Lepisosteus oculatus: one gene and its partners. The protein of the gene in region 3 purifies or fractionates together with the protein of the main gene of each other region. This does not show direct contact. Links are inferred from orthologs where the notes say so. Each region holds a gene or a part of one and is shown on either strand. Other genes may lie near its edges.

Evidence for each region.
Region 1: the proteins of dpf2 (region 3) and smarcd2 purify together in Homo sapiens (affinity purification with mass spectrometry; 6 studies listed by BioGRID and IntAct, counting the BioPlex papers as one, with this or other methods). This does not show direct contact. The link is inferred for Lepisosteus oculatus from reciprocal best matches to the Homo sapiens genes DPF2 and SMARCD2.
Region 2: the proteins of dpf2 (region 3) and smarcd1 purify together in Homo sapiens (affinity purification with mass spectrometry; 9 studies listed by BioGRID and IntAct, counting the BioPlex papers as one, with this or other methods). This does not show direct contact. The link is inferred for Lepisosteus oculatus from reciprocal best matches to the Homo sapiens genes DPF2 and SMARCD1.
Region 4: the proteins of dpf2 (region 3) and bcl7a purify together in Homo sapiens (affinity purification with mass spectrometry; 3 studies listed by BioGRID and IntAct, counting the BioPlex papers as one, with this or other methods). This does not show direct contact. The link is inferred for Lepisosteus oculatus from reciprocal best matches to the Homo sapiens genes DPF2 and BCL7A.

The regions. Positions count from the first base shown.
Region 1 is NC_090723.1:2,688,309-2,695,825, reverse strand, and holds the start of smarcd2 (SWI/SNF-related matrix-associated actin-dependent regulator of chromatin subfamily D member 2), read left to right. Parts: upstream 1-4,501; 5' UTR 4,502-4,866; coding exon 4,867-5,019; intron 5,020-5,101; exon of another isoform or gene 5,102-5,769; coding exon of another isoform or gene 5,770-5,835; intron 5,836-5,869; exon of another isoform or gene 5,870-6,070; intron 6,071-7,517. UniProt on the Homo sapiens protein: Involved in transcriptional activation and repression of select genes by chromatin remodeling (alteration of DNA-nucleosome topology).
Region 2 is NC_090696.1:17,243,885-17,251,740, forward strand, and holds the start of smarcd1 (SWI/SNF-related matrix-associated actin-dependent regulator of chromatin subfamily D member 1), read left to right. Parts: upstream 1-4,846; 5' UTR 4,847-4,880; coding exon 4,881-5,066; intron 5,067-7,856. UniProt on the Homo sapiens protein: Involved in transcriptional activation and repression of select genes by chromatin remodeling (alteration of DNA-nucleosome topology).
Region 3 is NC_090713.1:19,938,927-19,946,599, reverse strand, and holds the start of dpf2 (zinc finger protein ubi-d4), read left to right. Parts: upstream 1-4,666; 5' UTR 4,667-4,727; coding exon 4,728-4,759; intron 4,760-5,084; exon of another isoform or gene 5,085-5,604; intron 5,605-7,673. Other genes in the region: kcnk7 (potassium channel, subfamily K, member 7), read right to left, coding at 1,096-1,432. UniProt on the Homo sapiens protein: Plays an active role in transcriptional regulation by binding modified histones H3 and H4. Is a negative regulator of myeloid differentiation of hematopoietic progenitor cells. Might also have a role in the development and maturation of lymphoid cells.
Region 4 is NC_090717.1:7,063,282-7,071,033, forward strand, and holds the start of bcl7a (B-cell CLL/lymphoma 7 protein family member A), read left to right. Parts: upstream 1-4,741; 5' UTR 4,742-4,979; coding exon 4,980-5,071; intron 5,072-7,752. Other genes in the region: cfap251 (cilia- and flagella-associated protein 251), read left to right, coding at 115-278, 709-799, 1,386-1,529, 2,261-2,489, 3,236-3,337, 3,885-4,030.

The DNA of each region.
Region 1 (7,517 bases), on a different chromosome or scaffold from region 3:
CAGAAACAACAAAACTTCTTTGCCCTTGGAAATCATATCCGAGTTTCTCTGGGTTAATTTCTAAACAAATTTTCACTGCAGGGTGATCAACACTTGCATAACTACATTTAATTTTCTATTGTAAATTATATAAAAGAAATAATGTTACATTTTGTGAAAACCCAGATTACATTATTAATAAGCATCTTGTTATGAAAAGCTTTTCGTGGATTCTGAATGGATCAAATATTGCTTTTAACTCTGACAACAAATCTTTTTTGGGACTGTAAGTGTAGACTACTAATGATTTAATTCCCCTCTGATTGAAGAATCAAAAATGGGTGTGTTATCCTTGATCGTCTATATTGTACTCATTATTTTTCTGCTCTATGCCTTTAAGCTGGCTAGGCTTAAAACTGTAAGGACATTGCTTTAAATTTTCTAACAAAGCTGTCCTTGAAACTTTAGTCCTAGACATGCTGAGAATAGCAAATGTGCGTTAAGCCAAGGAACCAAAAACAAAAAGGTTGTCAAGGCTAAAAAAAACATGAATCAAAGAACTTAAGATACTGATGCATCACCAAAATAATTTTACATTCTAAATATGACTGCAGTAAATTCAAAAAGCCATAAGTTTAAGTGAGTGGATTACCAGGTACTGATAATACCAACTACACTGCAGTATAATTGAATGCTGCTGTAAAAATTGTTTTGCATTAGTGTTGGGCATTTGTGGGCTTGACTGTTAAAACAGCTCTTAAATAAGAAAAATAAGCTTGATACGTCTGCTGGTTGGCAGTTAGGCTTGATACAAATGCTTCAGTGAAGAGTGACATTAGATTTCTGAATTGCGGAAATAATGTTTCTGAGGAAATGTGAAAGGTGAATTATGTTACAAATAAAATCTTGCAAGCTCACAATTCCACACCACCCATCTTTACTGACCTTGTGCTGTACCCAAGCGGCACTGTGGTGTTAGGAAAGCAACCTCAGTGGGAAATCAATTTTAAATACAGACTAAAAATGTTCATTCTGAAGTGTTTGTTTTTCCATTTAAAATCAAATCTGAAAGGAAAGAACACCTTTTTAGAAAATATTTGTCCCCCTCTACTGGCCATTCATATTAAATGACAAAACAATCTCAACTACTTCCAGAGGGATAATTTCATTTTTAATTCAGGGTCTGATGGTAAGAAACCATTGATCGCCTGCTAACATTGCATTTTTAACCATTACTGATTCCCCTTACAAGAAATATACAGTACGAGCCAATGCTGATGATTTTATTTAGTTAATATACTGGCCATTATATGAAGATTTAGAAATGGTGACTATTCAATAATAATTTGATGACTATTTTATTTGTAGGCTGGTGAGTGTGAAGATTTAAAGATACTCATAAAACTTGTTCTACAGCCACCCTCGTGAACTGATGTTATGAGATAATATCACAGATGCTTATATGGAGGATTAAAGGGAACATAAATGCAAGGAGCTATTTTATTGGTGTGACATTGGATTACATTCGACTTACAGCTGGCAATCAGAGAAAGCTGCCACATCAGTGAAGCTAGTTGAGATTGTGAAAGACTTGGGAAAAGGCTATCGATCTGATTTTCAGCTTTTGCCAGAAGAATACTTGTCATGCTGATGCCTCCTAAGAAGGCAGCCAGCTGGGATTCACTGTTTGTAAACGCATTTTTCCTTTTTACCCCCACTTTTATTTACATTTATTTTTGCTATTTTTTGAGGAAGCAGTTATGGTTTATTGACCAGCTCTAGGTCCTATAGGTGATTGGTTACCTTATGCGTCTGGACAGTTGGCTTTTTGCTCAAGACCATTCTATGACAATTCACTGTTCAATAAACCCACTCTGATCCATTTAATTAATTGATGTCATGTTTTAAATATTTCAGTAGCTCAAAGAGAAAATTTGCATTGCAAATGGCATTCTGTTTAGATTGGGAAAAAAAAGAATATTTACTCATATTATGCAAAATAACATACCATCCAACAAAAAGGTAACATTTCAATTTGTACAACAAAAGATTCCTTTCTAAAAACATATTTAATGTTGTTCTTATACAATACAAAGAACTGATCTTTAAAAACAAATAGGTTTTGGGACAATTTTCATATGACAATTCCTGCAGGAATATTTTTGTAACAGCTTTTGCATGTTTTGTTTTGGGGTCATTAAATCACTGAGGAAAAACAGGTCTTGGAAGTGTCTAGATAAGACTATTCTTTGGGATATTATTAGTTAAAATTCATCTTGCTGTATAATCTATTCAGTTTATAAGTAAATATTTACACTCGAGTGGACAACCCAACTCTTACAATAAATTATCATTCTACATGGTTAAACACTTGGAGACCAGCAGAATAATATTTTGTTAGAAAACATTGGCTAATTGGATTTATTATAATTTTTCTTGGGGCAGATATATACAGTATGTTAATTAACAAAGATGATTTAAGCCTGCAAAGGTAACTAATATTGCCTGCTTCATTTTTATGTAATCAATGCTTCCAATTCTTTTTTTTACAAAAAGGGCACAGGCAAATAATGAATGCTATGGTACATTGTTTTACAAACAGGTTTTAATACTTATGTAAATTAAACTTTCACAATATTTTTAATCCATTGAGAAACACGCCAGAGAGTGAAACTGTAGGTGTGCCTGTTATATAAGACTTTATTACAGCTTTCTTTACTTTTACATTTCTTAGAATCCTTCCTCATGTGTTCTACATCACAATATTGCACAGCCTTACAATAGAAATATTGAAGCTTCCAAAGAGATGATACAAATGTGTTAAAGGTAAATAGAACAGGCATAAACACATTGCTCAAACAGGGCCTAATTTATACAGTGATGAAGAAGATCCATATTTTTAACACAGAGAAAACTCGACACATTTTAATGGTTGTTAACTGTAATAGGACATGGTTCTTTGAAATGTTTTTGAATAATACAGCTTTCTTTAACTCTTTTCTTATTGAAGTTGTATCTATCATCACAGAGACTTATGCAAAACTTTTGGATTTCCTTTGCTGCTGACAAATATGTCAGCCATCCTTTTTTTAATATGCATGTGACATTGACAAAATATAACTTATATGTAAAAGACTGGCTGTTGCTTATCTGTTCCCAATATACACAACAACTTATAGAATGTACAGTGGTTGTATTTATCAATTCCTGGCAAGCCAGGAATCGGATCCTGCTTGTTTTAAATAACCTTAGCAGCAGAGGTCAATAAATCTCTTTTTCTGCTTCCCCAAGCAATAGCTTAGTGGGAAGATTTTGCTGAAACTAAACATGCGGAGTGTGAATAGTACTGAATATCAAATGGGCACGGAATGGTCAATACATTGGAAGACAACACAGGATGTTTATGGTGCAGATTGCAAGTCATAAGTTTGAATTAACTGTAATGAACTGTAAAATTAAAAACAAATTGTATAAATCCTATAATATGTCATTGTCATATTAGGCAGATATAGCATGTTTATAGAAACAGAAAGTCACTTCTTCCTGGATAGTATCACAGCAACCCAACGGCTATCTTGGGAAAGCAAGGTGCAGGGAGAATAATCCCCAGAAGAGACTGCACTTTGACACAGGGACTTGTCCTGTGGATGGGTGCTGCTTCAATGTGCGAACTGTCCTAGAGTCAGAGGCTGGGTAAGTCCCTTCTTCCAGAGTGACGGCAGTTTGCAGTTACCTCACTCCATTCATCACGGTTAACCTAATGTTTCATATCAAAACCCAGAATGAATGAATCATTGTACATTGATGTACTGTAAAAGGGTGGCATGATAGTCAACGCTACCACCTCATTTGATTTCGGAGTGCAATACCTTCTGCGTGGTGATTACATGGCTCACACCTTGGTCAAGACAATATGACATCCTAGCTTTTGGAAAAAGTGCCGTGACATCTTTTAATGTGTGTCGTTTTCACAGTGGGCCCTGGTTTTACCTGGCTTTCTATTTCTAATACGGAAGCAGACAAGAAATCTCCCAAGCACAACGAAATCTTGTCTGTAAGGAGCATTCAGCCTGAGTAGTGGACTGTAGGTACTGTATCCTGCATTGGGCCATGAATCCATCGACTGTCTCTATCATTAGGTGAGAAAGCCTTGATAGAACAAAAAAGCTGTTTTATTCTATTAATTTTGACTTGGTCTTTTATTTGCTCTTACAGTTACGGTTTCAGGTCTTCGCAATGAATTATGAAGACAACAGCTGAGCAAGCAAACCAGAAGATCAAAATGGACTAAACGGATGCTCTATTGCAAATTTTAAAAGATGGCTTACATATCTTGTTTTTGTAGCTACTTGTACTACTGATCGTTATAAAAAACGATTTCCACAACATTCCACTAATCGCAAACCGGGCAAACTACCCCGGCGGTATACACGCAGCTCTAACCGGAACTAAACAGCAGAGGGCGCCATATAGAATTCTTTCTGCACTGCAAACCACGGAGTAGGAGGAGGCTGCGTGTTATTACAGACACACGCAGCCAAACCCTGTCTGATCGCTATCTTTAGACATTGGTCAGGCTCTTAAATTCTTTTTGTGTGCCAACCATTTAAAATAAATAGGGGGCTTGAACAAAGCCTTAGATTCATGGGAAATGATGACACCGACAATACAACCAACGTTGAGTTGCTCAAGAGGGGAGTGAGTGAGTTTATGAAAAATACCCAGGAACTAGTGTAGGGTTAAAAAAAAGATAGACGTTTAACTGCATCCAATTTGTTTTTGTTCGTATTTATGTTGTTAAGAAAAGTTTGCCGCTTTCAAGGGTTGTAGTAATCGCCGATCTTTGTTTTTTCTTTTAAAAAAAACTAAAGCTAAATTTGCTTTAACATGACTTCAAGAGGTGTGTACCCAATGAATACAGGTAGCCCACTGAACCCTAATATTAACCCTATGAATTCGGGGGGTGTCAGAATGGTTCCTTCAATGCAACAGAACAGCGGATTCCGGGCCATGGGCTCAGCTGCTTCCCCGTACCATCAGGTAACTGCGGTTTGTTCTTCTCTGCGCCTAGTGCGTAGACCAGTTTATCGGGTAAAAAAAGTTTATACTGTAATTTAAATTATTCGATTGATTTCCGGTCTCTGTCATTAGGTTAATCGGTATGATCTATGGTAGCGGGAGCTTACAGTACGTTGCTTTAACGCGGTGTGTCCTGTGTATGTTACTTTTTTTGTTGTTTGTTTTGTTGGTTTGTGTTATTAATAATCAGTCAATTTAAACAAGTCGGGTGTTCCCGTGAAAACTAGAAAAACAACAACAACAATGAGCTGGTGTAAGTGAATTAATACAATGTACTTTGCAGAATTGAGCTGAAACGCGGTTAAAGCACAACTTTATCCGTGTTTCTACATTAGACCTCACTGGACAAAAAAAAAAAAGACAGAAACGTTTGTATGATCAGCATGGCACTAGAGAACTGGAGTGCATGGAAACGACACGACTACATCAATAACGTTTTTTAAAGGAGGCATCAAGTGAGAATTGTTCCGTTTTGTCATTTTTTGCAAAGGCCCGAAAAACACAAAACCAGAGTGCTAGGTTGATAAAGTCCTCACTTCCGCATTTATGAAGGATCGCTGCCTGAATGTGTGTGAGAGAAGACAAATATGCCGTTATGTTGCGTGTGCGTGTGTGTGTGTGACCGAATAAAACACCGAGAGCACCGAAACACCAGAGCATAGCAGTAAAAGAGTACGTTAAGTTGTCCCGGAAAGGGATATTCGTTAGGACATGTTAACTTTAACGCTTAAAGAGGAACCGAAACCAGTCCCACATGACATAGCCTGTCCTCATGTGGTTTGTATTTTCTGTTGCGAGGGAGAGCGAGCGCTGTCTTCGTGACTTGACACTTCTTAACTCCCCTCTCTCGTTTCTTTCTGGTTACATTCGCGTTTGCACTGATACCTCTTCGGTTGCTACATGGAAGGTATCCGCTGAAGACAGGACAGTTCAGAAATGGGAAAGCCGAGGGGGAAGGGGGAGGAAAGTCGGTGCAGGATAGTAATCTGTCAAAACTAGCTGGGTTTCTACGGTATGTCAGTGCCTGCTGTGAGTCCGCGTTCTGCTCTCAGTACTTCTAAAACTTACAGTTCAGTAATTGCATCTGCCTCCGTGCTTTCATTTGGGGGAGGGCGAATCCTGAGTGAAACTGCTGTTTTGGGAAGGAGAACTTCAAGTCGTACAGTGTTCGCACGGAGCAGAACACAAACGTTTCCATTTCTGCCCAGCTACTCAGCATCCGATAAACGTGCTGGGCTCTAATAAGAAATGTCAGACGCAGATGCGTCTTTTTGCAGGAAATCCTGTCTCGATCGCTAATATCATATCTCGGCATCTCTTGCACGATCGAATCGCTAGAAGACGAGAAAAAAAAACAATCTTGAATGAAGCTGAAGACATTGCAAAGCGTTGTACTGTATTTTCGCATTTATATGTGATACAAAATATCTTTCCGTGGCGATATATAGCACAGTTATTGTAATCCCTCCCAGAAGAGCATTAGGAAAGTATTTTTACCAAATTAAAAACAGGAAACTGCCATTTTAATTATTTAAAATAGTTCATGCATTGAAGTGCGCTGACACGTGGACAAATGTGTCAGAGCACTTGAGGTTTCTTAAAGCAAGAAAAGCGCTCAAAGAAGAAATTAATGAAAAATGAATCTGTCCCATATCTACCTGTTCAGAACTTTCTCAACGAACATTTTCAAATTACCCCGTTCATTACCTATTAACTCATGTACAAATCTTTTATTGTACTCTTAGCAGTGTGGCAATTAAAGGTAATTAAAACAGGCCAAATATAAAGTTGGTATTCTGTAAGAAGTTAATATTTAAATCCCACACACCTTGCAAAGCAGAGCTAGACTAGTTTGCTAAATCAGATTTCAGAAGTGTAATACTGCTCTTATCATTGATCATGGAAAAAGTGTAAGAAGTATTTGATCAAGTATGATTAATTTAATAGAGTCAAACAAGGCAGCTAAGGGGAGTTTAACTGCAGGTGAAAGGATATTATTCATTTATGCGGAATTTGTTTTGTGTGCAATAACACATATTTTTTTGGTAAATACCAAATATTTTATTTTTGTAATTTAGTACTTGATACTGTTGAAAACAAGCATGAATGTACTGTAACTTCAAAATTGATCCACACAAACTGAGATCTGATCATTTTAATACAATTTGAGAAATTATTTTACAGAATTGTTCCAAATGTTTAATAGTGAGTAGGACCAACTAAAATGTATTTATGCGATAATTTCTATAAGTTCTAAACCCAAATAAGATCCCCTGATATTTTGAAGAACAATATGTTTCTCCCTTTTCAGTATACATGTGGGTTTACACACATAGTATCATTCTTTTAATAAACAGTTAAACTCCGGTAAGATGCAAACCAGTGGTTAATATATGCAGGAAATTTGCATAAAGAGCCATTATCAGATTTCTTACAGTGGCAATACTGTTGCTCAAAAA
Region 2 (7,856 bases), on a different chromosome or scaffold from region 3:
TGGGCGCCCTGGGGGTAGAGTGGCGAGCGGAACATGAGGACTGCCAGGTTGGCAGGGCGCCCCAAGGGAAATGGCCATCAGGCTGTGCCAGCTGCGGGAAAAAGGGAGGGATGACCTATCCCAGGGCGTTTCTCGAAAAGAGTAGGGGTGTAACCCCGGCGTCCTGGCCAAATTTCCCATTGGCCCTTACCAATCATGGCCTCCTAATAATCCCCATCTATGAATTGGCTACATTACTCTGCTCTCCTCCCCACTGATAGCTGGTGTGTGGTGAGCGTTCTGGCGCACTATGGCTGCCGTCGCATCATCCAGGTGGGGCTGCACACTGGTGGTGGTGGAGGGGAGTCCTCATTACCTGTAAAGCGCTTTGAGTGGAGTGTCCAGAAAACCGCTATATAAGTGTAAGCAATTATTATTATTATTATTATTACCTTTCAGTGCCCATCTCCAGGCTTCACTATAGAGGGACAAATCGTGTTACAGCTGTTTGCTGAAGCAGGGCACTGGTACCAACACGAGAAACCACCAGAGTGCTTCTGTCAGATCAACCCCACCCACACAAGAGCCTTCAGATCCATACGGCACTGTGCAGTTCGCCCATGGAGTGTTTTCCAAAGAGCAGCATTGTTTTACTGTAAATTGTCAGAGGCACCCGGCCTTATCGGCACAAAAACAGCAGAAAAGACTGCGTCTGGGAGTGCTGCTGACAACGCTGCGTGAGTTATGAGCGAGGCACTTCGAGAGCCGCCATCGAGTGTCACCCGTCAGTTTTAACACTGTTAGCGCCTCCCGGTGAAATGTCAGACGGAACAGGAGTGAACTGAGAAAGCGTTTTCTTTAATATTTTCTTACTGCTTTCAGTTACCTTCAAGACAGTCCCGCTGGGACAATGGTTTCACTTTTCCATCTGACATCCCTGTTTCTATGGGGGCGGGGGTGTAGGGGCACACAGCCAGACATGTGTGGTGATTTAATGTGATCTAGCCTGTATTCTGCAAGCCGAACCACTCTTCAGATCTTGCCCCAGCTGCGTGAGAGAGGAAAAGAGAGAGTAAGGAGGAGACAAATGGTGTTCTTTAGAGGACGTAGATTTTAGTCATGGGGGGGGGTAACTGTGGAAGGGCCCTCTTCCAAGATTGAACCACGAAATGCTCCCATCTTAAGAAGCTTGGCTAATGGGAAGGACAAGAGTTTCCAGCTTCAAATTAATTTGTGTCTCCTCGCCTGCCTTCCTTCCTGGTGACAGCATGTGAGCAGATATCAGCCCGCAAAGGCAGGGGAGATAAGGAGCGGGGGTGTTGGGGTGGGGAGGGACTTCAGACAGAGCCTCCTCCTCCTCCGTGATGAATCTCGGAGCAGGAAAATCTTGGTTGTAGAGAAAGTGATTAATTGCACCGTTTTCAAGCTGTTTCCTAGGAAGTACAACAGTAAAATGAGCCCTGTCATCCATCACAGAAATCCTGTTCTGTGTAAGTCTTTATTTGCTCCTGACATTTGTAGAGGCCCTATGTGATGTTCTATAGCACCCTATCCCAGGCATAGGAGAGTCACTGCATTTTCTTATAAAAAGAATCGGCAGCGTTCGCTTTCCTACATAGAAGACTTAATATTCCATCCACCCATTTTCTAACCACTTCTTCCCATCAAGGTACAGGGTTGGGGGATGGAGCCTATCCTAGCATACAAGAAGCACAAGCAGAACACACCCTGGAGGGGACACACTCACAAAGCCCAAACGCATGCAGACTCCTCACAGATAGCACCCCAGGTCCAGAATTCAGCTCAGAGCCCCAGAGAAGCAGCAACATTAACCACAGTGCCACTGTGCCACCCAATCAAAGTATTAAACCCCTTGAATATTATGTATTTCCTCTTAACTGGGATATTGGATTCAGTGTCCTTCTGCTACCCTGTGCAACACAGAGTCAAGGACCCCTTAAGTGAAATATATAAAATGTTCTTGCTTTGTTTTGTGCAACTGGGCCAGCAACTGCTGCAAATATCCTTCACTGTGGATTCACTGGGGACCATGTGTCTGTCTTTTCACAGCAAACCTTGACATCTGACATGGCAGGTCTCAGGCTCTGAAATCCACAGGGCCTGTTTGTGTATCCTTCAGAATTGTTTTCTCACAGGAATGATAGGATTGTGTCAGCAGAGCTGCAGGGACTTTTTCAAAAGCTGCTGTGTTCCAACAACATAAACCCAATTGGCCCTCATGTTTAAAAAAAGGATTTAGTCATCCATATCATCTGCAACATGTGCTGTTATAGGAGATTGTAATGAAGGATGGGACAACATTTCATCTCTCTATCTCTGAAGGGCTCCGACTTACTGCAGACTTCTAAAGACACCTATCATTTTAACAAAAACAGGGACCTTTTCTGGAAAAAAAAAACTTCAGTAATATAATACAGGACTTTAGCTTGTGCACCACAAACGCGAGCAAACACAATTCCATTAGCCTGTGGCCCAGCTACAAGTATTATTCAATTAGCTCGATGTGATTAGTGTATTAAATCGGAGATGAACTTTTCAGAAAGCTAGACAGGAGCACAGAGCAGCCAAGGAAGCACGCCAGAGATCAAGGAATCAATAAGCCGAAAGGGGAAGTTTGTTTGTGAGTGGGGGGGGGTTCTGATTGACATTGGCTGAGACAGACAGACTGACAGGCTGAATGCAAAGGAGATCGACATTCTGACATTCTGAGTGAAAAAGGCAGATGCCACGTCCTCGCAGCTGGGTAATTAACACTGTGCCTTAAAAAAAATCATACAAACGTAGTTTTAGATTTTCTTATGCAATTTAAAAACATTGCAGTATGCCCATTTGAGACCGTCACATAGAGGGGACATCCTGGTTGTGGGTGTATCCTAAACCCCCGATTCCAGAATGCATTTCCCATCTGGAGGAACGCGCAAATGCCGTTCGGCTGTGTGTGATGCAAATCGGACAGGGAGGAACAATGTCATCTTTTCCGTGAGCGGGGCTACTCATCTGCTCCCTGGCCCAGCTGGCAAGCTCACAGAGCAGACCGGTACTCTCCCGCAGATCGATCTGCGAACTTCGCTTCTCCGTTCCCCCACCTGTCACGATTGAGTTCTCCTAGCAGTGGGACCTTTGACCGGCGAGGCAGGAGAGGTGGGCCGGGTTGCTGAACAGATAGTGGTTAGCAGAGAGCATCTCCTCTCCTGACGGCTCCGACATTGCCCCTCTCCCGTCTGCACTTAAATTGGCTCTGACAAACGCGATGAGGTATGAGGTCACCCTTGTTAGGACTGACAGAAAGCACTTCTTCAGGATGAAGAGGAAAAGGGAGGCGTGGAGGACATGTCAGCTGTGATGCATTGTTTCAGGATAATTATCCTCCTAGGATGAGAGAATGTTCTTTTTTTCCCCGACATCTGCCGGTGAAGACGGCTCTCAACGTGTTAGAAGGATGCCCAATTCTGCTCTGCATGAGGCTAATGGGAGGCAAGCAACCAAGTGAAACTTCGCAGCCCCTGCAAATGGGCTGTCGGAGGAAGAGAAGCTCAGCACTCGTCGTCTGCTTGGCTCTGTAAAGCCGTTCTGTTACGTAGGACTGTGAAATCAAACAGTAAAGCTGTTCATCCGTGCACAGAAATACCATGGTTGCTGATCCAACTCTTCAAATACGTTTCGCTTTGTACAGATAGGAATATCAAGTCCACAATCTACTTTTTAACCAATCAGTCCCTAATGGTAATGTGAATATTAAATGTGATTTAATATATTATTAAAGTAACCTATAATGTACTGTACATTATATAGAGTGTAAATATTATTAAAGTAATATAGTTTAGGTTTTATTATAGTAAGCAGCCATGGATAGCTGTTTATACCATCAGTGTGGTATAGCTATATGTTGACTTGTGAAGTGGGCGTTTATATGCTGCTTACAAGGAACACATAATTCCCTTAAGACATGCTTTTTCTAAAACAAAACATGCATAACACAAAAGGTGTTCTTCCTAAGGTGTGTGTATAGTCTTGTCAGTTTCATAATTCATTCTGTTTCATAGCTGTATTTACCAATGAGAATCTGGTTACAGTGCAGAAGATTAGTTTGTGCCAAGTGACCTCATTCAGACTGAAGTTAATCCAGTGAATGTCACTTGATTGATGCACACAAGACCAAAATGCTAGCAAATAATAGTTATATCAAGATATTCACCATGGGAGGCTGGTGTTTAAATAATCGTGTCAGATCATAAATATTTGTATCAGTCCATCTATCTTCATTTACTGCTTTACATAAGAATATAAGGATTACAGACCTATTCTTCCACTGAGGAAAATGAAGAGCAGCGACATCTGCTGGTTACTATCTCGAGCACTTTTTATAGCCAGTAAAACTGAACCGGCGACGCAGAAATGTTTGAGAAGTTTGGGAAGTTAAGCGCATTGATTAGATTGAAGACGCAATTGTGATGGTTTACAGTAATATTCCAATGTGAAAATCGCAAGATGTATATTTTGATGTTTGTCTATATGGAAAACTATATTCGGCACGGGAATCTACGAGCCAGAAAGTTGCTTGCAAAAGCAAAATAATAAAACAATTAAAAACTACACTGAATTTACACGAGTTCTGATTTTGATTCTCGTACGATACATAAACATTGCGCACGTTCCATATTAGTCATTTCATTGAAACCATAATTATTCATATTAAAGACAAATTAGGAAATAAACGTTGCTTTCACGTCCTTCAGCAATATGGCTTCGATCAAGTTCAGCGTGTGCTCAGAGCCGTGTGAATAATTGCTGCTTCTTCAGTTTCTATGACAACCAGTGAGCAAAATCTCGTACAGCCCCTCTCGCGATATCCTCTTCACCACGGGCTCAGCGGGGAGAAGATGGCGGCTCGCGGTGGCTTCCAAGCGGCGGCAGCAGGAGGCGGCGGTGGAGGGCTGGGTCCAGGGCAGCCGGGACCGGGTGCTGGGCCGGGAATGGGACCGGGGACTCCCTCGGGCCGGATGGGTCCTTCCTCGGCAGCACAGAACCACCTTTACCGCTCCCCAATGCCAGGGCCCGGATACCCGGTAAGGAGGGGGAGGCGGTAACGTCAGGGGAACAAAGGGAGCCGGGAAAGACGGAGAAGCGAGGGAGGGGGTTGTGTGTGGATTAGGACCAGCGAACGTCTTTATATTTTATCAGGTGCTCAAACTGAACTACCCGGGTATACCGGTTAGAGAGAGGCGGTAGAATAGAAGTCGGCAAGGAGAAAACTTCGGATGAATATCTGTTTTTCTTAGTTCTGTGCTTGTGTGCTGTGTTGCTAAACCGCCGTTGAGAGAAACGGCTCATTTACCACCTTATGTGCCGTAGGAGGTGAGGGTGGGGATAAGGTTTGCTGATTTCCCGGTACAGCGTGCCCAGGTGATACACATGCATTGTCCAGCTGTACTGTAGGGATGTCCTCTGCATTGCAATATCCAGGAAAGTGACGCTGAAGATGCTGAACGCACTCCGTTTCTATCTTTCCAGGCTTCTTTCTGATAAAGCACAATTATGAGCTGTACAGCTGTGTGGCCGAAGTTGCGGGTGTATATATTTTTGCAGCTGTAGTTCATTCTCTCTCACCCTTTCCCTCTTGTTTCCCTTGTTGATGAGGGATGCGGTTCACAGTATTCCCCGGTCAGAGCAAGGCTTAGGCCCGGCATAATTAAGACGGGGTGGGTGGGGGGAAATGTGTGACTAATTATCGTGGAGGTGGTCGTATTTCTCACAGATGGTGGGGAAGCAGAACTGAAAAGGCTTTTCGGGGTCTTCTTGCTGGAGAAAACGAAGATACTGAACTTTCTAAGTTTGCAACTGGCGATCAGAATAAGCAATAGCCACGACGACTGATTTGCTGCAAATTAAATTTAGCGCCTCAGCCTCCCCTACAGTTGAAATAAGGTATCGAAGTAGGGCTGATGTGTGTTGAATTAATGTAGTTCTCGCTATTCATGAAGGGCTGAAGTTTTTAAAGTTAGGTGTGAATATTTGAAGGAATCCCACGTTTGCTAAATTATGATGTTAAAATACGAACAGCGTGTACTTTTAACCTCGGTAGCAATATAATATTTGAATCCCTTTATGATGATTTCCGTGGCACAGCAGCATCAGATGGTATGAGACCCATGTCAGAATTTACGAGCTGCAGTTTTCTTTCCAAAAGGCAAAGCCATATTTGGGTTTGTTCAAGCTGGGACAATTATTCTGAATGAGTTTGCCTTCACAGACGTGTGAAGATAAAAATCTTAAATACATGTAGGGTCTGACCAGCAGTCTGCTGCTTGAAATATCGTGCCAATACCCTGTGCTGTGCACACTGCCTTTGGTTTTCCTGAAGTTTTGTTTTTTGTCTTTGCATGTGCATTGCAAAAAGGCCACGTTGGCAAACCCCACACCTCCCTTAGAGGAGGCAGTCTTCTTCTAAAAGAGGGTTTGTCAATACTGACCATCTACGTTAGACCTGTTGAGTGACAGAAGAACAGAATTAAAGGGTGTCCTTTGGATCTTAGGTTAGCTCATCAGAAGGGTGACTGGGATCTTCATTCTGGATGACTAGGTGAAGATTGAATGTCACGTGTTGCCAGTGTGGGTGGGCCAGGTGTGGAGTAATGTGTTCGTGTTTGGTACCAGTTAGAATTCTCTCTGTGCTGATGTCATTGATGGGTTTGTTAGGGGGGGGCTCAGTAATGGCAGGAGGAGCAACACAGAAAATCACTGGAGTTCATAACAAAAGTTTAGGAGATGGGACGGTACCGGAACTGAATCAATTTAAGCTGCCTGTAATCACTCTTTATGTAATTTCCTCACCTAAAACATTATAAATGCTATACGTGATCCCCTTCTCTCCCTCACATGTCTCCTGCATCCCTCTGCATCTGCCCTTAGGTCACTCCTCACTCCACGGAGGGGTCTCGGCCTCCTTGTCCTGTGGTCAGGAGGGTAGCCCTCAGACAAGCCGGGCCAAGCCAGATTTACTGTGACTAAAACACTCAATAAACCTTTCAATATACTTAATTCTTGGGTGTTGTTGCTCCTAGTGAATTCTGCCAACTGTAATTGGTTGGACTCTGCGGCACTGAGCTCTCTGAGCTTGTGGCAGAAGGTGACTTTGCTCACCTGGGATCTCAGACGCTGCAGAATTCGCTGCCCGGAGAACATCCGGTTTTCTGGTGTCGTAGAGTTTGCCACCGTGCAAGCTCATCGCTTATGAGCTTCTGTCCCAGAATCGTGGTGGGGGAAGAGCAGGGCTGGACCTCTCACGCTGGTCAATAAACCCAGGGCTGTAAGGCTGTGTTCTGGGCTTTTTGGTAAAGAGACCTAGATGACAGCAGTCCTCTCTGGAAGCAGAAACTGCCCTTAGCAAAGCAATTCCTAACTTAGATCTTTATGGTGCACAAAAGGGGAACGAGAGATTGCTGCCAGTGAAGTGTTGGGTCTACGCAAAAACCTGTGGGGCTGCAGGATACACTCCATTTTTCTCTTGGTTCCACCTGCCATTATCTTCAGATCCGACATTTTGGCACATGCCCGCACCTCAAGGTGGTCTGGTCATTCTGATATACCTGGGAGAGAGCTGGAGTGCTTGGAAGAACAAAGATGTGCTTCTTTGATGGGACTAGTGCAGTTTAAGCAGAACTTTTTGTCGACGTGGGAATTATTCACCACAGAAGCGAATTCAGTTAAATCCCTTCGGCTCACTGCGTTGTTTCTTTGGTTCACGGTCAAATACTGTTAGCAATCATGTTGTTGCGTTTCAGGTCTTATAGCATCTTCTGCCTTTTGTAAGCGCGTAAATGGCGCCACTGAAAGGATGTTCTGTTCTCTCCTGTGGC
Region 3 (7,673 bases):
GAGCTGTGCAAAAAAAAATAATATTTTAAGCAAACATCCTCTTTGTATTACAGCAAACGAGGGCGCAGGTGCAGACCCAGAGCTGAATTCTGCAAGGTGTTCTTTCCCCCTTTCCTCGAAAGAAGCCAGGGGAGTTTGGTCCACACTCCTACCACCCTTAGCGTAGTGCTCCCCCCATCCTAATTGCTGCATCTCACCCAGCTGTAACTCGCAAGAAGGCTGTGGAGCTCGTTCCATCCTCCCACCACCCTTTGTGTACAGTGGTATTCTCCCCCCCCCCCCCCCCCCGCCGCCATCTTGACTGGAGCCATCCCCTCCAGCTGCGGCTTGGGAGGAGCCAGGGTACCGGCTTCCACCGCATGGCTAAGCGGCTTGTTCCACACCCCCGCCACCCTTTGTGTAAAGCAGGGTCTCCCCTCTCCTGATTGCAGGATCTCCTCCGAAACCCCCAAATCGCCCGTTTTCGTGAAAGATCAGGCGCGCTGGCCAATCGAGTTGGCAATTAAGCAAGAAGAAATGTTCAGATTCCACCCCCCCATCGGCATCACATAATGAGCCACCTGTCCGATTAATCATGGTAACTGCAAATGGCTCAAGATCTTTACAAATGGGGATCCCCAAGTTCTAAAACACCAGTTTTACTAGAGTACCAGAGCGCCTCGTTCTTATTTAAACCTCCACCTGTTTGAGACCAGACAGAACATCTAAGCTGCTGTACGGTCCATCCCTCCTGTCCTTTACAGGATAATTTGGGGGGGTTCCCACAGGGGACCCCCCCACATCTCCTGGTTTTCCTTCCCAGCTGAGCCCTCTCATTCCCACCCCCCAATCCCTCACGGAGCCGGTCCAATCGGAACCTTCTGCACATGTAGGGCGGTTTTTTTTTTTATCAGCTCCGAACTTGAAGATCTTGAGCGGTGCGACATTGAACCCCGCCAAGGCACCCAGGTGCCGTAAAGCGGTAACCTCCCCCAAAACCCACAGCGCGACAGCGTCGTAAAAGCCCAAACGGACGCTGGGCGCGACATAACAGACGCCACAAGGCCGAAGTCAAAACTGTAACCCTCCCACCACCACCACCACCTTCCCACCTACCCGTCGTCGTGAGAAACGCGGTCACGAAGAAGAGGGACGAGGTGAAGTCGGAGTTGCACTCCTCGCTTCTGTCGTCCAGCGCCGACACGCCGTGCTGGCCGGCCGAGACGACCTCCTCCAGCAGGGCATCCAGCGGGGCCTCCCGCAGGCAGCGGTGATCGTCTAGGAAGGCGGCCCGCACCTCCCGCAGTTCCCGGCGCAGGGCCACCTCGCCGGCCTGCTCCAGAGCCGCGAACACGGCCCCGCCCAGCAGGACGTACAGCACGTAGCCCAGCGCCAGCAGCCCGAACGCCCGCTCCCGGCACGACCTCCGGACCGACTCCCAGCCGGCCGCCATTCCGAAAGACCGGGGGCTCGGGACGGCGCTACATTAGTCCAACCGGGCGCTGAAATTGCATTGCGTCTTCTCCGACGCCAAACCCCCCGATAACCTCTGCGCTGCTGGCCTGAAATCCTATACCTTCCTTTCCTGTTGTTAAAAGTTTAATGCCCGAGCGCGTATAACGTTTCCCCTAGCTAGGCTTCAATTTCAGACCCTCAATCCTGCTTGTACGGACACAGGGAACGTCTTTCACGGCTATTAACGCCCAAATTGGCTCAGTGTCCTAGCCAGCACCTTCGCCTGTCTCATTTATCTTGTATCCACGAATCCAGGAACCCTCTCGCCCCACCCCACGCACTTAATAGGCACACTTGATTGCTTAACAAGCACAGTTCAAACAAGAGTACATAGAACGATTCAAGACACAAAGATCGTCAGGGGGGAGGGTACATATTACTCCATAAATTCAAGTTATTTGAAAAACAAATTGAAAATAACGTCCGCACCGCTTTCAGATTTTTGCACTTCAAAATAGTCTGCAAATACCCTCTCACTTCCATTGTAAAACGCTCAACCACAGGGTTCTTCCCAGACCACTTCATTGTATGGATGTAATAACGTGCCGTTCTAATAATTAAATGGATCACAAACGCAATTTTAAGATTGTTTTCGATGGGGCCGAACGTGAACATCTTTTTCATCACAACAAACATCGAGATTGGTCTCTTTTTTTTAAATATAATTCTGCAACTTAGTCCAGAAAATGTGTACCCTGGGACAAACAAGAGCTGAATAGTTTCAGGGCTGTTGTCACACACACACAAAAAAAAAACCACATTTGTCATCTAGATTAATTTGAAATCAATGGGTAACAAGAATCTTAACTGGGTGAATTATTTTGTATGAAACGCGACCACTTTTTCCTCAATAACCCCCCCTAACTCTACGGCTCCTCTTTCAAACCTAAATAAAATATTTTTTTTTTCACTCTGACTCGACGGGGTCTTATCGTAGCTTTTGGAAACGGCATCTCAGAACGAGTCGCGCAAGGTGCTCACGTCCTGTGGTCCATCTGGGAACCGGATACGGACACGCAGATCCGTTTACCTGCACACACAACCCCCGGACAAGTCTTCATTTTGACCCCCCTGATACGGCACGTTTAAAGAACCCGGTACTGGGGCAAAATCACACAGCGTACGAAGTCAAACCTCAGGTTTGAAAAGAATCTCACCCCCCCCATCTTCCACGCAAAGGAGTGTCTCTCCTTTCGCTGTGTGATTGAATTCTGCAGGGCTGTGGTGATAGTTTAACACGCCTTTCTCACCCCCACGCACGTCTGAGTAATATTTAACGCAACGTACAGGACCGACAGAAATGGTGTGCAAATATAGCTTGGACTGTGGCTCCCTCTAGCGGCTGAGCGGAGAGCCTAGTCAAGACCCTTGTCGTGCAGCGATTTCAAGTTAATATTAATAATTGCTTACACTTATATAGCGCTTTTCTGGACACTCTACTTAAAGCACTTTCCAGGTCATGGGGAGCCCCTCCACCCCCAGCAGTGTGTACCCCCACCTGGATGAGGCGCCAGTCCTCTCCCCACACCCCAGCTCTCAGTGGGGAGGAGAGCAGAGTGATGGAGCCAGTTCAGAGAGGGGGGTTATTAGGAGGCCATGATGGGTAAAGGCCAGGGGGGGAATTTGGCCAGGACTCCGGGGTAACACCCCTACTCTTCTCGAGAAACACCCTGGGGTTTTTAATGACCACAGAGAGTCAGGACCTCTGTTTGACGTCTCATCCAAAGGGCAGCGCACTATACTGGGGCATTAGTGAGCGCCCCCTGCTGGCCCCACTAACACCTCTTCCAGCAGCAGCCTCAGCTTTTCCCAGGAGTCTCCCCTCCAGGTCCTGGCCAGGCTCCCACCTGCTGAGTCTCCAGTGGGGCTGCCAGTGGGGAGCTGCAGGGCGATATGGCTGCTGGCCATTCCAAAATTAATATAGATGATAACTGTGTTCTTTTGTATTTTTTTTTCTTTTGTTTGTGATTTCTGTCTCTTGTACCTGTTTCTGATCCTCTGGTTGTAGTTGTATTTGTAAAATTCTTTATATGTTCAATAATTAAAAAAAAAGGTTTTAAAAAATGTTCTTTTGTGAAAGTAGCCCAACATTTATTTTTGGTTATGTCCTCTGGTAAAAACATTCTAGATTGATCTGCAAACGTATTTTGAAAAAAAAAGAGGCCAATATTGCTAGCATTTGGACAGACATAGATGTAATGTTAAATTTCAATTCCATTGCAAATAATACCAACAAAATCGATTGTGATTGACTTATTATACTGGCACGTTATTATATACACTTATATGCATAATGCAAGAAATTTTATATGGCCAGTAAAGTGATCTTTATCTTATCTTGTCAGCAGCCATATCACCCTGCAACTCACAACTGGCAGCCCCACTGGAGACTCAGCAGGTGGGAGCCTGGCCAGTACCTGGAGGGGAGACTCCTGGGAAAAACTAAGGTTGCTGCTGGAAGAGGTGTTAGTGGGGCCAGCAGGGGGCGCTCACCCTGCGGTCTGTGTGGGTCCTGATGCCCCAGTATAGTGACGGGGGACACTAGACTGTAAACAGGCGCCGTCCTTCGGGTGAGACGTCAAACCGAGGTCCTGACTCTCTGTGGTCATTAAAAACCCCAGGGTGTTTCTCGAGAAGAGTAGGGGTGTTACCCCGATGTCCTGGCCAAATTTCCCCCCTGGCCTTGACCCATCATGGCCTCCTAATAACCCCCTCTCTGAACTGGCTCCATCACTCTGCTCTCCTCCCCACTGAGAGCTGGGGTGTGGGGAGCGGACTGGCGCCTCACCCAGGTGGGGGTACACACTGGTGGTGGTGGAGGGGATCCCCATGACCTGTAAAGCGCTTTGAGTGGAGTGTCCAGAAAAGCGCTATAGAAGTGTAAGCAATTATTATTATTATTATTCTCAGCACACTTCTTAAAAAGTGAAGGTTAGTAAGTATGCTAGTTCGCTAACGTCACGAAGACGAAAAAGGCAGAAAAAACGACGAAACAGAAGAAGTGTAGTTGTATTAGTAAAATCTTTATACGTTTAATAAAAAAAATTTAAAAAGACGAAACGCAAGAAGCCGCTTTAGGCGGAACTCTGTGAGAGGCGCGCGCGCGCCGGCTGCTTCCGGCGCGGCCGCGTTCGGCCCCCCCCCGGCCACACGCGCGAGCTCGACGTGACCTCGGCGCGTCGTCTTCTGCGCAGGCGCGCGCTGCCGTCGTCCGAGACGGGAGGCGAACCAAGATGGCGGCCGTCGTGGAGAATGTAGTCAAACTGTGAGTGTTGTTGTTGTTGTTTTTTTTTCTCTCTCCCTCCCCTTCTCTCGCCTTCCAGCGCGTTCGCCGGAGCTGAGCGGGCGGGTGGCGAAGGGCTCGGGGTTCGGAGGAGAGAGGGGGCAGGGAGCTGGGAGAGAGGGGTTCAAGGGAGGGAGAAGCGACGTTGTGTGCAAGCCGGGCGGGCGAGAAGCCACGACGTCTCTCCGGTCGCGGCAGCCGAGGGCGCCGGGCGTGAGAGCGGACAACTGATTCATTGTTCGGCCGCCGCTCAAAACTTTTCTCCCGGCGGCAGCGCAACACTGGGGGGGGGGGGGGAGTTTTCACCTCTTATCAAGGGGGGTTTTCAGGGCAGCTACACAGAGCCCTGGGAGGTGGTTTCTGGTAGTTTTGGTCGCCGAATTGCCGGTCCGAGCCTGGATCCCCGTTGGTGCCGGGTCTCTGGTGCTGTATGAGCTCTCTCGTCCCGATCCAGCCGATCGATGGGACCGAGAGGCGCCGGTGCCTGCGGTTTTGTCCCAGCCGGTGTTGGCTGCGCCGTCCTCTTGTTGTATGTGTGTGTTTGTAACTCGATGCTCCGCGATCGTGATTCATCAACACGCTGTGTGTGTAAGAGAAGGGCTCCCACGGTTGGCTTTGCACCCCCCTCCCTCGCCCGGCGTGTAGCTTTGTTCCTCTGTACGATCTCCCAGCCGGTCGGCCAGATCCCTGCTCTCGATCCGCTCTTCAGAGAGCGGATCGCCCCGGCAGGGCCTGACGTTGGGCAGCGCAAGTAAATGTTGACAAAGTTCAAAGAGCCGGTTCAAAACTCGGCTACAACCAAGTCTCTCTCCCGCCGCACACTGCGGGTAGGTAAAACACGTGTTTTGAAGACGTTTTGTGGACACCCGGGCAGCGAAATTGCGGTCTGGGTGGTGGTGGGGGGAGTTTACAATTCGTGCAGATTCAAAATCGCAACATCTGTCATCTGGTCCTTTGTTATTTTTTTTTTAGAAAAACTCCATCCCTCCCGATTCACGTAGTAAAAAGCTCTCATCCTGGAAGAGAAGACGCCTGTAGCTCTTTCTACTGCAGGATAAGCTCCCGATCTCCAGCAGGCAGCTTTTCAATGTTGATCTTGAAGCGCATTGCAGCGCGATGTTGTTATTGAGTCGTGCTGCCTCGTATAATAACGCCTCTTTGTTTTAATATTGCTCTTCCGGGTGTCATCGGGTTTATTTCGCTTAAATGGGTTTGCAGATCGATGATACCTTCGCCCTGCGCTGTTGTGCCCCCCTGCCTGCCGGTGTAATTAACGATGGGATATCATTAACGGAGTTTCGTGAAGGTCGCCCGAGTTATCGCATGACGTCACTCGCACGATCTCGATCAGATCACTTTTTCAGCCCTATACAATGTCTTGCATTAGGAATGTGTCTTTTCTCAGACCCCAGCTTGCTCTCCAGGAGACACACAGACAGGGAGAGAGAAGCTGGGGGGTCAGAGCGCAGGGTCAGCCCCCCTGGAGCAGCTGGGGGTGAAGGGCCTTGCTCAGGGGCCCCAACGGAGTAGGATCCCTCTGCCGGCTGTGGGATTTGAACCTGCAACCTCCCAGCCACAGAGCCCCCACTCTGCCAATGGCACCACCTCTCTCTGTTTAGTCAAAGCTGTGGACTATCAACTCCTGTGTTTTGCTGTGTGCCAAATACACCGTGGGCAAATGAATATTTATCAGTCGAACTGATGTTGTCACTTAAACAGAAGCCTTCTGCCAGCACTTCGTATCTCGAATGCGTATGGATCTGAAGTCGTCCGCTGAATTTGGTTTTCATTTCAATCTGTTTTTATATAGCGCCTTTCCCAGCGATGGAAGATGCTTTGAGTTTCGAAACCGCAAGAGCGTTCGGCTCTGCTAACCCTCGGTTGTTTTCTTCTCCATGGGAGCCCCACGCCGCACGTTGAGGTGTTGCAACTGGAAACGTCACCTTTCTCGGAATTGGAATTGGGGAGGGGGTGGTTCCCTTCGGCTGTCCCGCTGCGGACTTCAGAGAAGAGCTGGTGGAGGGTGTGGGTGATACTCTTGTGAAACGCGGATTTCAAAATGGGACACCCTGAGCCCCGAGCAGGGCCGGGCGTCTGAAGGCCACAAGGGCTTTCGAGAAGGAAGACTTGTGTCATCTCCTTCCGTTAGTCATCGTGTGTGTGGGTGGGTGTGTGTGTGTGTGTACAGGACAGGAGTGCACGAGACCTGGTCAGGATTCTGGCTTAGAAATAGAAATGCGAATTTCTGTGTCATCTACAGTCTTTGGTTTAATACTGCACGCATTCAGTTGTCTTAAGCTGTGGCGATTTGCCTGAAACGGTTGTGTTTGAAAGCAGCTGTCTACCTAACAGATCTCGGACGCGCGCACGTCCTCTCCCGCGATTAAAATCTTATCCCCGTGTGACGGGAACACAAAAGTGGACCTTTGACCAAAAACAGGTTTATTTTCTTCCAGCATCGAGGAATGATAATATAGTTCGAAGGCCTTTAATACTTGACAGAAGCGTCCCGGGCTGCCAGAATTTGGCATGCCGGGAGAAATAATTTAAGTATTTTATGGCTGAAGTCACACCCCTGGTCTCTTTCAAGAAACAGCTGGGTGAGGTCTTGGCATCAACTAACTCTTAACTACGAACCGGACCAGAAGGGCCGACTGGATCTGCTCGATTCTGAAGCGTCCCAGTTCTCTCTCTCTCTCTCTCTCTCTCTCTCTCTCTCTCTCTCTCTCTCACTTTTCAAACGTTTGATGCTGACCGACGTCCTCGAAAATGGAAACCAATCTTACTGTCCCGCCATCTTCTCATTCAGGGCTGTGGGGGAGCAGGAGTCTATCCCAGCAAGCAGTAGACGCAAGGCAGGGTACGCCCTGGAAGGGACGCCAGTCCATCACAGGGC
Region 4 (7,752 bases), on a different chromosome or scaffold from region 3:
TAGTGTTATTAAGAAGTAGCCACAGACTCAGTATGCAAAACCATGCAGCACTGTGCGTGACTGTATTATAAATAACTTATTGTTTGTTAAAGGGTCTTGCTGTGATGTTCACAGGTTGGCCTGCAGATCTTGCCATTAGATGGAAATCCCCATAAATCTTCTGCCCTCATCTGTCACCCACTGGGTGTCTCTAGCTTTGCATGCTCCTGTGATGGCCAGCGAATTTTCACTGCAGGGGGCAGTGATCGCACAGTGTTCACCTGGGAAATCAACCTGAAGTGAGTTCATCAGTCTATTGTAGTCAAATAATAAAGAAGCCTATTGTTTAATTTTAATTTCTAAGCACGTACTGTATACATGCCTCCCATAGCCATTCTGCTGCATTCCACAGATTTGTGCTCAGCATTACTAACATTTACCTTCAAGGCAAGCAATTCCAGAGCAAATGGACTGGGAGCAAGTACCTTTCTCCATTTTCAAAGAGAAGTACTGTAATTGCAATTGAATGCAAAATGTTGTCTACGTTTTTACTTCTAACTGCATTGCAAAATGACCCTGACTTCTGCCTGTTGCTGCTCTCAAAGCATTCTAACACAAGCTGACTCTGAATGCCTGCTAGTGTTCCTCAATTCCCTGTAGAGGCCATGCTGTCTATCGATCTCGTGTTTAGGCTTTGTGAGTGATTTTCCTTCTCTCGCATTGTGGTAGTGCTCTCGAGGCAGCAGCGTCTCTTGGAGGACAGGACCTCATTCCCTTTTACAGTGTTCTTGAAGGTGGGAGAGATGGGGAGCTTTTTAGGGTGAGGAGATTTATTAAACCCCACTTTCTAATATATTTAACAAATGAACTGCATGCCATATGGAATCTAACAAAAATAGTAGTTAAACTGTAACAAATTAACACTGAAGGTGCTAAAACCAAAATGGCTTCTTCTGAAATACAGCAGACGTTATCATCCATGTCTGAATGTATGAAAGGAGTCGATAATACACAAGCAAATCATTAGTTGTACCTTGTCTGTTTTGCTGTATTATCAATGCATGAAGAACTTCCTGTGCAGGCACATAGAACTTCAATGTGTACTACAGTGGTGCTGAATGCAGTATAGGCAGTATAATAAAATTCACAGTAATGCTTTGAAAAGTGTCATCTTTTTACACACAACAGGCTCAGTTAGACACCTTCTAGCAAATATCTGTTCTCATTTTCTTATGCGATCAAATCACTCATCTAATTCTTGTGCTATGAAGTGCATGAGTTGGCTTTTATTTTACCTAGACAGAAAGATGAAGCTGTTGTTTTAATTTTATAGACGCGCTTCATTTAAGTTCATTGTTAGACACAACATGGGAGCTACAGTACTGTTTTTTGTTTTGTCCATCTAGGAACTGGAAGACTATTTTTACTATTGCCAGCTGCGCAATCAAGGAATTGACACCATGGAGACCCGACAGGTGTCTACAAGAATCCCCCTGGCAGAGATCCCTTTTGTCATGCGGGCATTGGGATTCTACCCCTCTGAGCAGGAGGCAGGTTCAGATAAGTCCACTCACTGAAGGCTGAAATAATAACAAAGATCATCTTTGCAAATCATGAGCTACAGATGGTTCTGTGCTCTGAGTATCTTGAACATCGGAAACAATTCTCAGAGAAGGGTTTCAGTCTGGAGATTTGCAGAGATGCTGGCAGTCAGATCTGTATTAAAGGTTTCTTTCTTCCTGTTTTTCATTCTGTTTCTCTGTCTGCTTTCTGAGCTTTTTACATTCACTGAAGAAATGTAATGTAGCTTTAATTTGAATGATTCAGTCATTTATAGTTTCACCTGTCTAAAGAAATGCTTATTAGTTTTATACTTGCCTGACTTGATGCCATTTTGTGTTGCACTAAATCTCTCATTTTGCACCACGTCTGAGCTGAACAAAACACTCTTTATGCTCTTAACCTATTCTATCTATAGGCCATATGTGCTTAGTATCCCTTATTATATTTAATATTATTAATAATAAATTAGTCTTGATTACTATAAACTGATCACTATTGTCATAATAAAGGTTGCAAACAGGAGAAAGGCTTTTGGTCCATCTAACTTGTTTGATTGCTAATAACGTATCAATCCCAGATTCATGCCCAGCCTTTTCTTGAAAGGAGCCAGGATATCAGCTTGGCATAGACGTTTCTTCTAGACTCCTGTACACTTTTGTGTAAAGAAACACTGTCTGCTGTCTGTTCGAAATATACCTCTCTTCCCTTATTTTCACAGCTTGAAGATATGCTGAATGAGGTCAAATTCAGCCAGTATGTAGATACAGGAAAGTATGTGACCGACATTGATTTGGCAGATTTTATAAAACTGTATGTAAACCATCGCCCAGCATTTGGGATATCTATGAATGAACTGAGGCACGCTTTTCAAGTTCTGGGTTATGAAAATGAGAATGGGGAGAGAACACTGAACAGGGGAGAGCTACTGCAGCTGCTGCAGGCCAGAGGTATGTTAGACTGCTTCCAGTCCAAAGTAACAAAGCATCTTTTAAAGTTGCTGCTTTCATCTGACAGATCAATTGGAAAAATGTCACACATGCTCTGGGTATGATTATAGACAGCTTGTCCATTTGTTACCTTCAGTGTCTGAGGGGACATATTATTCCAATATTGACAGAGTGACATCAGGATTTGTTAGAATACAACAGATTGGACCTTAATTCTCAGACATTAGCAGACTGTTCCCACATGTTCTGTGCTGTATTTTCATCATTAGAGCAAACAACAGAAACAAAATCTGGGGAGCTGCAGGCGGGCCTGCACTTTATACAGGAGCTCACATGAAGAGCAGCACTTTTCCCTATTTCTTGTAATATACACACATGATATTAATGAATTAAAAATCCTTTAAATTAAAAAAGGCAGGCATTTTGTGGCTTTTTGTCATTTTTAATTTTGGATCTTTCATACTTTTTTCATACCCAGCCACTTGGTATCATCAGTCCTTAATCAGCTCAGCTGCACTTTCACAACCCTTGAGCTGTGACATTTATAGTATATAAAACTTAAAATATTAAAACATGCATTTGTTTTTAACTCTTATTTCTCTCAGTCTCCTGTATTATGCTTGATTTATGATGTCATAATAAGGATTAGGACGTCATTCGGATGGCTGAAGGTCCTTGAAATAATCAGAATGAGACGTTTACATGGGGATGTGAAACACGTTATGGAATGTTTTTTTTTTTCCTAGGTGAGCACATGACTGAAGAGGAGCTAGCCGAGTACTTCTCCACCTTGATGGGGCTAAATCCTGAAGGGGGGAGGTTGGAACTGGGAAGCTTTGATTCTACAGGTATGTACAGTACTAAATTACTTGGTCTTCTGCAGTGACTTGTCCCAGAGTGACAAGACTATAATGCAGTGCAAAAGATGTAGATCACAAAATGTTACTGAGTATGGCTTACCAGACTCTCTTAAGTAGTTAATGGTAATAATGGATGAAATAATAATGGTGAAAATCATATGACATTCTTCAGGCCAGATTTCCTCCCCTGGCCTTTACCAGTCATGGCCTCCTAATAATCTATGAAATGGCTTAATCACTCTGTTCTGCTCCTCCATGATAGCTGATGTGTGGTGAGTATATTGGTATTCTTTGGCTGCTGTTGCATCATCCAGGTGGGGCTGCACACTGGTGATGGTGGAGGGGATCCCCATTACCTGTAAAGCACTTTGAGTGGAGTGTCCAGAAAAGCCCTATATAAGTGTAGGGAATTATTAAGGATTTACTCTATTGATTATATGTATTCCTGTAACATTGAACAGTGATGGGCATATTGTTGAGTTCATGTGAAGAAACCACTTTTAACTTTTTTTATTTTATTGGGTTGAATTGACAGGTTCGGAGTCTCTGCTGGAAAGTGTGATTCCTGAAGAAATCACGATAGACACCTTGACATCTGACATACTGGGTTTTCCAGTTTTTGTCCAGGAAACTGCATCTTCTGAAGAGGGTCAGACAGACCGAGAGTCTGTGTTGTCCTAGGCTGTGATGCTTCCCACCACTCGTCGATGGAGCTGCCAACCTGTGTGTTATGAAGTTGCTTTCACCTTCAACACTTTGTCAGTAAAATTAGGATTTTTTTTTGCTCTCTTTAGTATTTGAACATTTTTACAGTTACAAAAGAAGAAGCTGGAGTGGCTTACCGCAGATTCTAAATCTTAACTTTTGTTTTAAATAAAATATTTTACCTAGATATTTATTGATGTGTTATTATTATTTATATTGATTTATATAATATGTATAGTTTAAAGGTTGAAATGACTGCACTAATTTTGAAACGATAAATGTCCGCAAAATAACTTTTAAAAAATATATATCTGACTATGTATTGGATTTTATTCTTCTGGGCAATTTCTTTGTATTAAGAATACTTTGGTTTGCTATGAAAATGCGTTTAAATATCACATAATGAAAAAACAATATGATGAAACACAATGAAAGCTGTTCCATGCCTCTCATCCAAACATAGAAACAAATAATTTCTAAAATATATAATATACGTCTTAAAAGACACTGAAACGTCTTGGACGAGTGCATTGTGCGGGAAAAAAAAGAAAACCCGTAAAACAATTTAACCGAAACAAAACCCGTTCGAGTCTTTTTTTTTTTAGACTGTTTTTCTTTCCCATCTGGAATGTTGCGTTGAAACAGGAAGTACGTCTGCAACTTTCAGCATCGTGTGTGTCAACTCGAGAAGTTTTCGCGAAACTTTCTTTGTGAACAATGTAACTTTGAAGCCTTTGTTGCTTCTGTCTACATTGTTGTAGCTCGGAGTTGTGTGACAAAGCTCCAGCCTGGCTTTGCCATGCAGCTGTAGGCTCTGTGCTCTCTTGGCGCAGGCGCGCTCCCTCCTCACAAAGCTCTACATTGAGTGTATGCATTGTGTCTGAACTGCCGGCGAGCTTTAAAAAATATTATACCAACAGCAGCAATGTCGGGCAGGTCGGTCCGCGCAGAGACCAGGAGCAGAGCGAAAGATGACATCAAGCGTGTTATGGCCGCTATTGAGAAAGTACGAAAATGGTAAGAGGAGAAAAAAAAAGCCACGGTTCATTATCTAAGAGCAGAAAGCCCAGCTTGTTGGGGGGGGGAGGAGGAGGAGAGAAGAGAGGGAGAAGAAAGAATGAAATGAACGAGAAGGGTCATCTTGAACTGAAATCGCTCGGATCGTGCTGTTGGCACAGGTGTGCTCAAGCGCTCCTGCGCTTCGTGCCAGCCGCCGGACCGATCGCAAAAGCGAAGGTTTGAGCAATTTTTAAATGGATTTTTCCATTAAGAATTAATGTGGGTTGAACCCAGAAGCCATTTCGTTGCAGTCACATGAAGCCTTTGCTGTCTTCTGCCTGCTGTAATGCCGGGTGAAGGGATCTTTGTGTGGCGCGGAGTGTTCCGGGACACTGGCGCGCACAAATCATAACAATAATCTCCAGTTTGTAACTATACTATGACGACGGCGCTCTAGAGTCAGAATAGTTTTTATTCGGTCTCGGGGTTTAAATTTAGCGCTTAGAGTCGCTCTTTAGAGCAAACAGATGTAGCGTGCAGTGGGGGCTGGGAGTAGGAAGTAGTGCATGGCTGATCACGCAAATATGTTAGACTTTTTAAAAATAAAAAAGCACATTGAAGCGAACGAACAACACATTACTTTTACAGTTGTGAAATATCGGTCTGTGTTTTGAAATCCGAAGATAAGGTACACTTTCATGCAATATTGTTTTAAGAAGGATTTACGTAACAAAACAGTCGTCGTTTTTCTACTAGGGCATCGTAGGTCGATTTAAGAAAATATATAAAAAACATCCTTGGAGGGCTAAAAATCTGTTGTAATGGAAATAAAAACGGAATCCCGGGAACTGTTTTTTACGGTTTAATGTATTTTAAGGATAAACTCACGATTTGGATATATTTCCCTCGACATTGCAGAAGATTGCTCGTTCTAAAGTCAACTTTTTCCCACATTTTTGGAATGATATTTCTGTAAAAATTTCTAACTCTTACAATACGATGACCGCCTCTTTGAATTTATGTGGGGTTATTTCAAATTGCGTATCGGGACGTAGGAAGTATAACGGTAAAGATGAGAATCCTATATAATTTGTAAATATATGTTAAGGGAAAAGGGACTCTCGCATCAACACAGCACCAAGGTTAATCCCGTCTAACTGCTGGTTAGATTAAAGGTTCCAAGTCTATGGAAATTGGGACCTAATTAGAGGCAAGCTAGTGACCAAGTAATTAAAATGGGGAAAACAGTACATGCACGGACACGCAGAAACGGGTTTAGCAGGGGAAATTAAGATCCAGTTTGATCGGATAAACTCTATATTTTTAGAGAAGGGGACGTTTCTCTTTACGCTAACTAGGCATTTACAGTGCTCCAAATTTTCTCTGCAAACTGCTGTGCTTCTCACCCTGCATTTTCGCGTGACAACGACCATGAGAGTAACAATAGGAGGCTTGCTTATCTCATCGATGCAACAATTACACATTAAAGCCGAAGATGCTTTTCACATCCAAGTGGACCAAATCCGGTCCGTCTCGAAGGTCAGAGGCGCACAAAGAGCGCTCTCGGGGATGACGCTCGTCTTTGGCCGTCTCCAATCCGCGAGTCTCTGGACTTTGTTGCCTGTCTGTCCCATGGGTTAAATTTTGTCATGGGTACCACGCAGCGCTATCTCGCACAGCTATAGCCAGGAACTCTTTTGTGTGAGATTCCGCAGTGCCAGAGCTGGATTTCTGCCCAGTGGTTCACAATCGAGCAGAATTAAGCATCTTCTGTGTCTAGACTGTTTGTTTGGCATGGCAGGCGCTGTCTCAGCTCTCCACGGGTTTAGAGGGGGTGGTGTCTGGTGGGTCAGGATGTCTTTGAGTCTCCTTTTGCACGAAGAGCCCTTAATGATGGTTGAACCCCCTGGTATTTTCATCTTTAATCATAAATCCGGCGACTGTAGGCCAAAACCACATTATGTGTTAGCATTTTTTATTGTTAAACGCAAGCACAGAAAATATGCTTTAAAGAATAGGTTACTTTATTTTCCCAGAGCAATTGAAGTGGATATCAGTGTAGGTTTAGAATAGCTTTATAACATTATGAGGTTTCTGTTCACATGAATGCAAAATTAAAATGGTTAACTTTTAAAAGTAGGTTTCCAGTAGTGGAGCAAACATTCAGAATTTGTCCTCTAAACAATAATTTAGCAGTCAACACATGATTTTCAGTTAGAAAACACTATTATATATTACTTGCATGCGAATCTTGGTACAGTTTTGTAGAACCGGGCTATGTGTTGTGTAATCAAGCTGAATAAGTAAAACCAGACATTTTGAATGTTAAAAGTAGTATTTGGGGTAAAGGTCATACCCGTTAAACAGAAAATGTGAAAGAAAATCTTGTTCCGGCAAGCTTTTGTATAATTGTACAATATTAGGTGAGGTTCTCACCCAAGAGCCTACAAAGGTTTGTAGACAAGAAGAGGCCAAGCTCAGCTGTCTGCTAGTAGCTACCTGATTCATGCATCTTGTCCAGCTTTTCCTTGAAAGATGCCAGTAAATCAGCATCAACAACCCATCTGGGCACACTGTTCCTGACACCCGCCCCTCTTTTTGCAAAGTATTGCTTTCTGTTCTTGGTCCTAAGGGCCCTGCCTTGTAAGAACATAAAGGGAAAAGAAGCCCAGTGTGCTTAAAAATGTCTCCACTTTTCG